Linked DNA regions of Oryctolagus cuniculus. The protein of the gene in region 2 binds, or shares a complex with, the protein of the main gene of each other region. Links are inferred from orthologs where the notes say so. Each region holds a gene or a part of one and is shown on either strand. Other genes may lie near its edges.

Region 1 (3,745 bases), on a different chromosome or scaffold from region 2:
ATCTTCTAATTCCAAGGAAAGGGCCATCATAAACCATTTCTAATTAACACCAACACTTTTACGAATGACAGTAAAAATATCACCTTAAAAAACTATAAATTGAATTTCTTTTAAAGGTTTTATGTATTCAACAGGCAAAATGAGAGCGAGCGAGCAAGAAGGCCTTCCATCCGCTGGCTCATTGCAAATGGCGACAAGGCCTGGAGCTGCGCCGATCCAGAGCCGGAAACCAGGAGCTTCTTCCGGGTCTCCCATGCGGGTGCAGGGCCCAAGCACTTGGGCCGTCCTCCACTGCTTTCCCAGGCCACAGCAGAGAGCTGGATGGGAAGTGGAGCGGCCGGGACTCAAGGGCGCTGGTGCCACAAGCAGAGGCTTAACCTGCTGCGCCCGCAGCACTGGCCCCTGCAGACTGAATTTCCAAGACGCCAAGACTGGGACGGGCGAGACACAGCTTGGAAAGCCGCACCCCACGTCAGAGCGCCTGGGTTCAAGTCCTGGCTCTGCTTCCGATTCCAGCTTTCTGCTCGTGTGCGTCCCGGGGGGGGGGGGGGGGGGGCAGCGCCGGCCCAGGAGGCGGGATCCCTGCCACCCACCCAGGGGACCTGCACTGAGTTCCAGTCCTGGCTACGCCCTAGCCCAGTCCCGGTTGAGCCCCCGCTACTTTGGGTATTTGTGGAGTGAACTGGCAGACGAAAGTTTTTGTATTTCTCTGCCTTTCAAGAAGAGCCAAAACTGAGACCAAGCAGAGAGGCACCCTCGCTGCAGGCACCAGGCCGCTCGGGTCACTTGTAAAACACGCTCAGCGTCCAAGCAAACCCTGCCGAGCCTGATCCGAATTTACAAGGTTTACAACAGAGAGCCAGCAGCCGTCCCGCAGGTGCTCAGTGCAACCAGGCGGCAAGGATCTGCCCAGGCCCGGGAAGGACCAACGAATTCACTCAATCGCACGCCGGCCCAGCAGGGGTCACTCCCGGCTCGGGGATTCCCAGCCTGGCCCAGGAGCAGCAGAGACAAGTCGCAAAACCACCAGCAATGCTTCGGGAGCCAGACCCGAAGCAACGTCTGACGCTTAAACGAGGTTTACAGATGTGTGTGTTTGAAAGTCAGCGAGCGGGAGGTCCTCCATCCGCTGCGCACTCCCTGGGGCAGCACAGCCAGGGCCGGCCGCGCGGAAGCCAGGAGTTTCTCCCCGTCTCCCACGTGGGTGCAGGGCCCAGCGCTCGGACCACCTTCCGCTGCTTTTCCCAGGCCATCGGCGGGGAATCGGACAGGAAATGGAACAGCCAGGACCCAACCCGGTGCCCACGCGGGATGCGGGTGAGGCTGACAGCAGAGGCACCGCGCGGCGCGAGCGCCCGAGCCGGCCCCGCACTCGGCCCACTGCGGCAAAGACCCCGCCGGGCGGCCCTTCACCCGGACCCACAGCGCGGGAGCGGCCACGCCCTCCGTGGAACGCGCGCACCTCGGGGCCACGCAGGCGCCCCGGTACGGCTCCTGACTGCCCCGCACCCCCTCGGGGCAGAACCCCCTGACCATTACATGGGCTCTTCCCATGCGAACACCCAAGGGTCAAAATGAGCTTTAAACCCAAACCTTGAATTTTAAAATGAGAAAAATCGCTGCGCTAGAAAGAACGCAGGTTACAAACCAACGCTGGCCCAGGCAGGAGGGCAGCAACACCGGCTGTGCCTTCACACCGCGTCGGCTCGGGGCTCTCGGGGCCGCCCCTCGGCGCTGCCAGCCGGAGCCCCGCATCCCGCCCGGGAGGCCGCGGAGCTGAGCCCCGCGCGTGGGCCCTGCGCGCATCTCGGAGGCCAGGACGCAGCGCCCGGCCCGGCCCGGCCCGGCTTTCAGGCACTGGGGGCGGGAGAGCGGCCGGAAGCCCTGTTTCTGCTGGTACCGCGGCCGGAACAGCCGCTTCCAGCCGCCCCGGCCGGCGCTCCCACCTGCTCCGCGGCCGGAAGCCCACCCACCCAGCTCGGCACCCCCGGAGGCCGCGCGAGGGCCCAGGGGCGCGAGGGCCAGGGCGGGCACCCGGGCCGTCCGGATCGGAAGCCGCGGCGGGCCGGCCGGGGCTCGCCGGGAGGCGGGCACTTCCGGGCCCCCCGGCCCTGGCCGGAGCGCCCGCAGGCCGCCGGCGACCCCTCACCTTCCTCGCTCACGTCGTCCACGAAGTCCTCGGGGTCGCTGAACGACGGCTCGTCCGCGTCGCCGTTCTCCACCGCCCGCGGCTCGGCCTCGGCCGCGCTGCCCTCCGCCTCGGACGCCGGGGCCGGCTCGTCCCGGGCCTGCTCCCGCGGGGCCTCGCCCTGCTCGGCGGGGAGCGTTGCGGGGGGCTCGGCCGGGCTGGACGCGGCCTCCTGCGCCTCGGCCGGCTCGGCCCTCACGTCGGGCTCCGGCCCGGCCTCCGCGGCCGCTTCCGCGGCGGCGTCCTCGGCCCCCGCGGGCCGCGGCGGCTCCTCCTCGGGCGGCGGCTCAGCCCCCGGCTGCTGCTGCTGCTGCTGCCCGGGCTCGGCCCGCTCCTCGGCCGCCTCCGGCAGCGCCACGTTCTCCGCGTCCTGCATGAGCCCGACGCCGCGCCTCACGAGCTCCGCCGCCGCCGCGCCGCCGACACTCCCAGGCCGCCCCGCGCGCCGCGCCGGCGAGCGCCGAGCCACGTGCGTGCGCCCGGGAGGCCGCACCAAAGCACCGGGGCCGGGGGGGGCGAGCACAACGCCCCGATTCGCCTCGCCGAGTCCGGAAGACACCGAATCCGCAGAAGTGCGTCTAGAATGAATGGCGCCGATGTGGCTGTGACTGAAAGATGCTCAGCTGCAAAGACCAAAGTCGTTTCGGCAACCTATAAACCCATTGGGAGCTGCTACTCCCCCCATTTGTCGTAGCGAATGGTCACGTCCAATATGGCAGCCGCTCCCTGCCTTCTCCCGTCGGGCGCTACGCGATGGACTGAACTACCTGCGGGGCCGACCGCGGCATGGATCAAGACAGACTCTGAACTGGAAAATGAACACCGTGGGAGACTGTCAGCTCATCAAGCAGTGATGCTGAGGCCGTCTCAGTCTTTGACCAGACAAACCGTTCAGCTTCCATCACTGAACTCCCCCTTTACGAATCGGCTTTTTAGACTCGTCCACTGACTGGACAGCAGAGCCGGCCACTCCGAAATACTCAGGGAGCCCACGGCGAGCCAGAGGTGGCCGGCGCTTCTGGAAAGACGACTGCCGGGCGCAACACAGAAGCGTCCGGCAGCTGCTTTAATCGCCTGCCCGGCCCCGCCGTGCCGCTGGCCAAGCCGCCGGTCGCCGCCCCCCCCCCGCCCGCGGCCGCAGTGGTTCGGCCCGGCGGAGGCGGGAGAGCGCGGGTCACGTGGGCGCGGGCGGAGCGACGCGGCGGCGGGGAGGCCGTGCGAAGGTCCCGAGTCGCCGGCCTCGGAGGCTGCCGCTCTTGGGCGTGTTCCCGTCGTCTTCTTTAGGAACCAGGGGCTTGGGGCCGGCGCTGTGGCGCAGCGGGTCAACGCCCTGGTCTGCCGCGCCGGCATCCCAGGTGGGCGCCGGTTCGAGCCCCGGCTGCTCCACTTCCGATCCCGCTCTCTGCTATGGCCCGTGAAGGCAGTGGAGGAACCAGGGGGCTGCCGCGGGCTGTAGGGAGAGGAGCGTGAGAATGAGCGTTAACTTTTAGGGGGATGGAAAGTGGTTAAAATTTCACCTTTGGTGTGTTTGATACGTAGCTCCTGCTTTGGAGGAAA
Region 2 (3,645 bases):
GATTCCTGCCACCCACATGGAGATAAACACTGAGTTCCTGGTTCCTGGCCTTGGCCTGATGCAGACTCAGCTGTTATAGGCATTTGGGAATGAATCAGCAGATGGAAGATCTCCTACTGCCATGCAAATATAAAGGAAAAATTTTTAATTAAAATATGTATTTTAGGAAGAGGTCCACAGGTTTTATCAGCTGCTAAAGGCATCCATATCATGAAAAGGATGCTCTCATGAAAAGGCTATCCAAGAATAACCCACAATAAATTGGGGAGACAAGGGAATAAGGCATAGGAAACAAAGATGGATTCTGTAAAAATATTCAGTTCACTAAATCCAGAAGCTCAGCCGTTAAGGTTCCTTTGGGACACCCATAGCCCATACTGGCATGCCTGGTTCTGGCACACTTCCAACCAAGCTTCCTGTGAACATGCATCCTGGGAGGCGGCAGGTAATGGCTCAAGTACAGGGGTACCTGCCACCCAAATGAGAAATGCATACTGAGCTTCAGTCTCCTGGCTTCAACCTGCCCCCGCTCTGGCTATTGCTGGCATTTGGAGAGTAAACTAGCAGATAGAAGATCTGTCTCCTTGTCTGCCTATCAAATAAAATGAAAATAAATTCCAAGACATTTTAATAAATGTAGAAGCTAAGCAGGGGCAAACCATGTGGTAAATACCAATAGAAAAATTAATCTACCTAAAAGAATTTCAGTCTCGGGGATAAGTATGCTTTCCATCCTTCTCAGTACCTAGAAAATTAGTTGTTGTTAATACCACAGATTCAGAATTTCAGTATGAGAGAATGAACAGTAGAATCCGGTAAGCCAAAGACAATGAGTGTATATTGATTTTACCTTTTAATCTGAAGCTGATGTCTCACACTTAAGTTTTCTGTACACTGCATAAACCTACCTCTTTAAGGGCAGTTCTCACCATCCTATAAAAACACATAATGGCTGAGTGCCCTCTAGAATTAGATGAACACACTGAAGACCTGCCAAGCATACGCTGGTACACAGGAGCATCCACAACGCTTGAGGTTGCTAAAGCCCCACTGACGGGAGACTCAGAAGAAGCTTCTGGCTCCTGGCTGTGGAACAGCCCAGCTCCAGCCATTGCGGCCATTTAGGGAGTGAACCAACAGATCAAAGATCTCTTTCTCTATCCTTTTCTCTAACACTGCCTTTCAAATAAATAAATCATAAAAACGGAACAATCACAACAGTCAGCCTGCTTGATCCATTTTAGATAAGACAAAGGATAGGGGAGAAAGAATAAGCAGATCTTTCTTATATAGACTTCAATTTCAAGGATTTTTTTTTAAAGATTTATTTATTTATTTGAAAGAGTTACACAGAGAGACAAAGAGAGAGGTCCTCCATCTGATGGTTCACTCCCCAGATGGCTGCAACAGCTGGCACTGTGCTCATCCAAAGCCAGGAGCCTGGAGCTTCTTCCAGGTCTCCTATGCAGGTGCAGGGGCCCAAACACTTGGGCCATCTTCTACTGCTTTCCCAGGCCATAGCAGAGAGCTGGATTGGAAGTGGGGCAGCCAGGTCTCAAACTGGTACCTATAGAGGATGCCAGCACTCAGGCCAGGGCTTTAACCCGCTGTGCCACAGCACCGGCCCCTCAAGGTTTTTAATTTCAGCAATATTCTATTCTGGGGCTAGCATTGTGGTGCAGTGGGTTAACATCATCTATAACACTGGCATCCTGAATGAGCAACGATTAGAGTCCCGGCTGCTCCCTACTAATGCACCTGGGAAAGCAGTGGAAGACGGCTCAAGTGCTTGGGCCCCTGCATTCATTTTGGAGACCCCGAAGAAGCTCCTTGTTTGAGCCCGGCCCAGCCTTGGCCACTGCAGCCATCTGGGGAATGAACAAGCAGATGGAAGGTCCATCCATCCATCTCTCTGTCTCCCTCTAACTCTGCCTTTCAAACAAATAAATAAATCTTTCAAAAACTTTACAAACTTCTCTGAAAAGCATTCAGTAAGTAACAACGTCAATAAACTTTTGTTCAGCTCGGGCCATGTCTACCTTCTGTGCCATGGAACTCTCCCCCCTGGAGCATTCTGAATGTATTTATTTATAGGACCTACAGGTTTCTTTTATCTCATGCACTAACCACTGCTGCAGGTACAATATAGAAATGGAGGTCCTCTAAAGATATATGCCATGGTGAGAGCCAAAAGGGTCATAGAAAGAAACCATCCTGAGCACAAGACACAGCCAAACTGAGTGCCCTAGCTGTGGTCTAAGTCTCTTAAGGCAACAGGAGAGCCCTACAGTCAGTTCAGTATTTAAATTTCAAGGCCACAAAAAAAAAAAAAAAAAAAAAAAAAATTCAAGGCCACAAACCTTGCAATTCATCCAAATCTCATTCAGCTGATGAATATATTCTATTAGGAAGTGTGGAGGCTGGCACTGTAGTGTAGTAAGTAAAGCCACTGCCTGCAGTGCCAGCATCCCATATGGGTGCTGGTTTGAGTCCTGGCTGCTCCACTTCCAATCCAGCTCTCTGCTATAGCCTAGGAAAGCAGTACAAGATGGCCAAGTGCTTGGGCCTCTGCAACCACGTGGGAGATCCAGAGGAAGCTCCTGATCCCTGGCTTTGGATTGGCCCGGCTCCCCCCATTGTGGCCATTTGGGGAGTGAACCAGCATATGGAAGATCTTGGTCTTTCTCTCTCTCTGCCTCTAATTCTGGCCTTCAAATAAATAAATCTTAAGGAAAAAAAAATGTGCTTTGAGTCCATCGACTTTTTCTATCTTAATCTGTTTTGAAACTCAAAACAATTATTCAAAAGTCTGAACACATACCCTACTCTACCTTCTCAAGTAATGAAGTCTCAAACATACAGAAAGAGATTAAAAACTGCTTTCTAATACCTAAATTAGCTACTACTGTTTTCTTTAAAAAAAAAAAAAAAAAAGTAGATGTTTTCAGGGCCGGTGCCGTGGCATAGCAGGTAAAGCTGCTGCCTGCAGTGCTGGCATCCCATCCTGGCTGCTCCACTTTCCATCTAGCTCTCTGCTATGGCCTGGGAAAGCAGAAGATGGCCCAAGTCTTTGGGCCCCTGCACCCACATGGGAGACCTGGAAGAAGCTTCTGGCTCCTACCTTTGGATTGGCTCAGCTCCTGCCGTTGCAGCCATCTGGGGAGTGAACCAGCAGATGGAACACTTTTCTTTCTGTCTCTCTACCTCTGCCTCTCTAATAAATAAATAAATCTTAAAAAAAAAAAAATTTTTTTTTCTTCGTAACTAGTAAAACTTCTGGAATTTCCATGTGGAACAGTTTAATACTGCACTAATCTGTACCCTCATCATTTTTTTTTGCACCCTCAACTTACCAAAAGTTTCTTTTGCTAATTCAAGGTCTGACTCTTCCTGTAATTTCTTTAGCCGCAGTTTATCTGCTAATTGTTCTTCTGGTGTTAGCACTTTGGGTTCTTCTGGTTCTTCTAACTAAAAGGAGACAGAAAAGTTTTAAAAGAGCTGAATTATGATGGACCCAGTACACTGTCGTATTGCATGAATATTTTAATAGGGATAAATAAATAACCACATGTATTCATAAAGTGATTATCGTATTTCAGGCAGTCTTCTGAACACTTTAAATATTGCTGTTCCATTTTTACAGAT
Region 3 (3,745 bases), on a different chromosome or scaffold from region 2:
ATTTCCATTGACTGCCTATTGGCCCATCTGACTCCTCACAGCTGCAACTGCTGGAGCTGGGCCAGTCCAAAGCCAGACAGGAGCTTCTTCTGGGTTTCCTTCATGGGTGCAGGGGCCCAACGGCTTGGGCCATCCTCTGCCGCTTTCCCAAGCTCGTTAGCAGAGAGCTGGATCCAAAGTGGAGCAGCCAGGACTGGAGGTGGTAGCCATACGGGATGTTGGCACCTCAGGCAGCGGATTTTACTCACTTTGCCACAGCACGGGCCCCAAGCCTTGTCCACCTTTGCCATGTCTTCACAGTTTCCCTTCTCTCTCTCTTTTTTTTTTTAAGATTTATTTATTTATTTGAAAGTCAGAGTTACACAGAGAGAGAAGAGGCAGAGAGAGAGAGAGAGGTCTTCCATCCACTGGTTCACTCCCCAGTTGGCCGCAACAGCCGGAGCTGCACCAATCTGAAGCCAGGAACCAGGAGCTTCCTCCAGGCCTCCCACGTGGGTGCAGGGGCCCAAGGACTTGGGCCATCCCCCACTGCTTTCCCAGGCCACAGCAGAGAGCTGGTTTGCAAGTGGAGCAGCCAGGTGCTTCAGGCCAGGGCGTTAACCCACTGTGCTACAGCGCAGCCCTCCCCCCCACCCCTTTTTTTTTAGTTTCCCTTCTCTTAAGGAGACATGGTCTTCCATTTCCCTGAGCACTTACAACATGTGATGACATTTTACCTCGAGGCTTCTTAGCATCTCCTCTGCCCCTATTTATTTATTTTTCCTCAGCGAGTCACAGAGTCCCTCAGTGCCAGTCCTGCTCTCACTTGCCATCGTGCTGTTCTCTATGGAGCTCAATGTACTGCAATCAGGCAATCGGCTTATTGAATTAATTAACTTACTGGCACTTTAAGACACTGTCAAAACCAAAGTCCTTTTAAATTTTTCATTTATTTTTATTGTATTTGAAAGGCATACGAAGACAGAACTTCCACCCTCTGGTTCACTCCAAAATTCTCACAACAGTCAGGCCTCAGCTCGGCAGAAGCCAGGAGCACAAAACTTCATCCTGATCTCCCACGTGGGTAGCAAGGACCTAGAACTACTACATCTGCCACCTTCAGAGGAAGCAAGAAGGGAGCGAGACTCGGACCCGTTCTCCTATGTGGGCTGTGGGCTGTAAGCAATGAGAAGCGACGTCTTGTCTGTCTGACCAAACGCCTGCTCCAAAAACCTCTTAAAATGTACTTTGGGCAACCACCATCCCATGTAAGTCTAAACACAAATTGCGGCCTTTGCGCTGCTCACTAGCTCCACCTGGCGGCAACGCCGAAGGTTGCATTTAATTTCTCTCCGAACGCCGACTCAGAATGATTCGGAACTTTTTACCCCGGGTCTCACTCAGTGCGCGCCGAACCGGAAGCAAAGAGCACAAACTCCGGAAGAAATTACAAGCACCAGCACCTATTAGCGTCCCGAAAAGTGTCATCAATAACCAATAGGCACCAAGGAGTAGTTCACGTGATGTATATTCAGCCTATGGAACGGCTAGTACTCAACAACTCTTTCCCTAGCGCTCATGCTCCTTCTTTCTCGACAAGATGGCCACCCCAGCAGTCTCCGCGAGTGCGCCTCCTGCCACTCCAGCCGCAACCCCGGCTGCAGCTGCCGCTCCAGCCTCCGCCCCGGCCGCGGCGCCAGCGCCAACGCCGGCTCCAGCGCCGGCTGCAGCTCCTGCCGCGGGAGCGGCTCCGGCCGCAGCCGCAGACCCTGCGGCGGCGGCGGCGGCTGCGGGTACGGGCCAGACCCCGGCCTCCGCACAAGCCCCCGCGCAGACCTCGGCGCCCTCGCTGCCTGGTCCCGCGCTGCCAGGGCCCTTCCCCGGCGGCCGCGTGGTCAGGCTGCACCCGGTCATTTTGGCCTCCATCGTAGACAGTTACGAGAGACGCAACGAAGGCGCTGCCCGAGTGATCGGGACCCTGCTGGGTGAGTGCTCAGAGGAAATCGTTCCTGTCCCCGTCACCTCTTGTGTCTGTCGCTCGCGGATCGCCTCCCTTCAGTCTGGCGTCCCTCTTCCCTCTGCTCCCGTCACCGTCGACCCCTCACTGCTTCTCCGCCCCCAGGGGGCTTGACCGCCTCCTCCCCCTCTTGCCGGTGGTACCCGCTTGGAACGACATGTGAAATACAGTAGTTGCCGTGTATTGCATAGACATCATTTTTAACCTTAACGCATCAGGTGTCATTCTCCCCACTCCGCCTAAAAATGAGCTCGGTGCCGGGTATGAGATCGAGAACGCTTGACTCCCTAACCGGATGGCCCCGTATTTGTCTCCTAACCACGGGCCAGATGTCTTTGTTTTTCAGGAGTTTGCAACGAGTTTTCTAACCGTTTGTTAAAGGAATAGGAGTTCTGTGAAAATATTTCTCTTCCAACAAGTAAACTACTTTTGCTGGAGCCCACTTAGGAATAAGATTTTGCTTTTCTGAGCCTGATCCTCTAGCCCTCAGTCTCCCGGAAGACTGGTTCCTAGTTTGAGAAATCTTATTCCTCAGTGCTGTCTCTAATTTTGCATTTAAGTAGTCATTCCCTGCCTGTATTCCCAATTGGAGGAGTAGGTATTTTTTGTTAAAGTGAGTTTGTAAGACGGAAAAGCCTTAACAAGGGATTGTTGATAATAAATGTCTTTTCCCCAGGGGCCACTGGTCCCATCCAGTTCATTTCCACTCTGTAATGGGTTTGCTGCACTGCTGTGAATTTACTTCACATGCATCATTTCTTATTCTTACCCTTCACCATGTAATGCTCCTCACACTGTACAATACAGTTGGTGTATTACAAAGAGGATAAGATTTGTAGGCAAACTCTACCAAATATTACCCATGTGCCTTGGAGAAAATTACCTAATTTAATTCCTTTTTGAAGAACCAAATTATTCTAAATTATCTAACTTTGCTGGCACACCATTACACACAGCCGTTTGCATCCACTATGTCGGTTCCACACCGCCCCTAAAACACACATTCTGAATGTATCTTTGATGGTATAGCGTTTTACAGAAACCTAAATTGATTCATTCATTATCTTCTAAACATGGCCATTTCTTAAGTTATTTAAGGAAATGATTCTCTACCCAAGGCTTATGCTTAGTGGCCCACATGTTAGAGTAACCACCTTCAGACTGGCTGTAATCTCGATCCTCAGATCCTCAGCAGACTGGGCTCAGGGTCCAGGGCTCCCCATGTGATAGAGGCAGAGCTTAGAAGAATGAAGCAGCCAGTGCCACGGCTCACTTGGCTAATCCTTCACCTGCAGCGCCAGCACCCTGGGTTCTAGTCCCTGCTGGGGCTCCGGATTCTGTCCTGGTTGCTCCTCTTCCAGTCCAGCTCTCTGCTGTGGCCCGGGAGTGCAGTGGTGGATGGCCCAAGTGCTTGGGCCCTGCACCCCATGGGAGACCAGGAGAAGCACCTGGCTCCTGGCTTCGGATCAGCGCAGCACGCCGGTCTTAGCAGCCATTTGGGGGGTGAACCAACGGAAGGAAGACCTTTCTGTCTCTCTCTCACTGTCTAACTCTGCCTGTCATGAAGCATAGATTTTTTTCAGTGGGAACTTAACAGTTTTCTCAGACATTGGAACATGAAATGTAATCTACTGTAACCTTAAGCTGAAGATAGAAACACACATGAATACAGTGTGTAAGTGCTCTAATAGAAACTTGTTATAGTGTGGAAATGCTGAAGACATAAGTGTTTCAGAAAGTTGGGGAAAC

The links.
Region 1: the proteins of EIF3J (region 2) and EIF3B are in contact, whole or in part, in an NMR structure (PDB 2KRB), measured with the Homo sapiens proteins. The link is inferred for Oryctolagus cuniculus from reciprocal best matches to the Homo sapiens genes EIF3J and EIF3B. Residues at the interface, in NP_003749.2 of Homo sapiens: Asp45, Glu46, Asp50, Asn51, Trp52, Asp53, Asp54, Asp55; in NP_001032360.1 of Homo sapiens: Lys202, Asn205, Val206, Ile207, Lys209, Ile210, Lys213, Asn249, Ala250, Asp251, Gly252, Tyr253, Lys254, Leu255, Phe261.
Region 3: EIF3J (region 2) and EIF3F share a complex: the UniProt entries of both Homo sapiens proteins name them as parts of the eukaryotic translation initiation factor 3 (eIF-3) complex. The link is inferred for Oryctolagus cuniculus from reciprocal best matches to the Homo sapiens genes EIF3J and EIF3F.

What each region holds. Positions count from the first base shown.
Region 1 is NC_091450.1:37,175,444-37,179,188, reverse strand, and holds the start of EIF3B (eukaryotic translation initiation factor 3 subunit B), read right to left. Parts: upstream 2,640-3,745; 5' UTR 2,565-2,639; coding exon 2,150-2,564; intron 1-2,149.
Region 2 is NC_091443.1:67,490,230-67,493,874, reverse strand, and holds part of EIF3J (eukaryotic translation initiation factor 3 subunit J), read right to left. Parts: intron 3,469-3,645; coding exon 3,354-3,468; intron 1-3,353. UniProt on the Homo sapiens protein: Component of the eukaryotic translation initiation factor 3 (eIF-3) complex, which is required for several steps in the initiation of protein synthesis.
Region 3 is NC_091432.1:58,226,977-58,230,721, reverse strand, and holds the start of EIF3F (eukaryotic translation initiation factor 3 subunit F), read left to right. Parts: upstream 1-1,560; 5' UTR 1,561-1,579; coding exon 1,580-1,964; intron 1,965-3,745. UniProt on the Homo sapiens protein: Component of the eukaryotic translation initiation factor 3 (eIF-3) complex, which is required for several steps in the initiation of protein synthesis.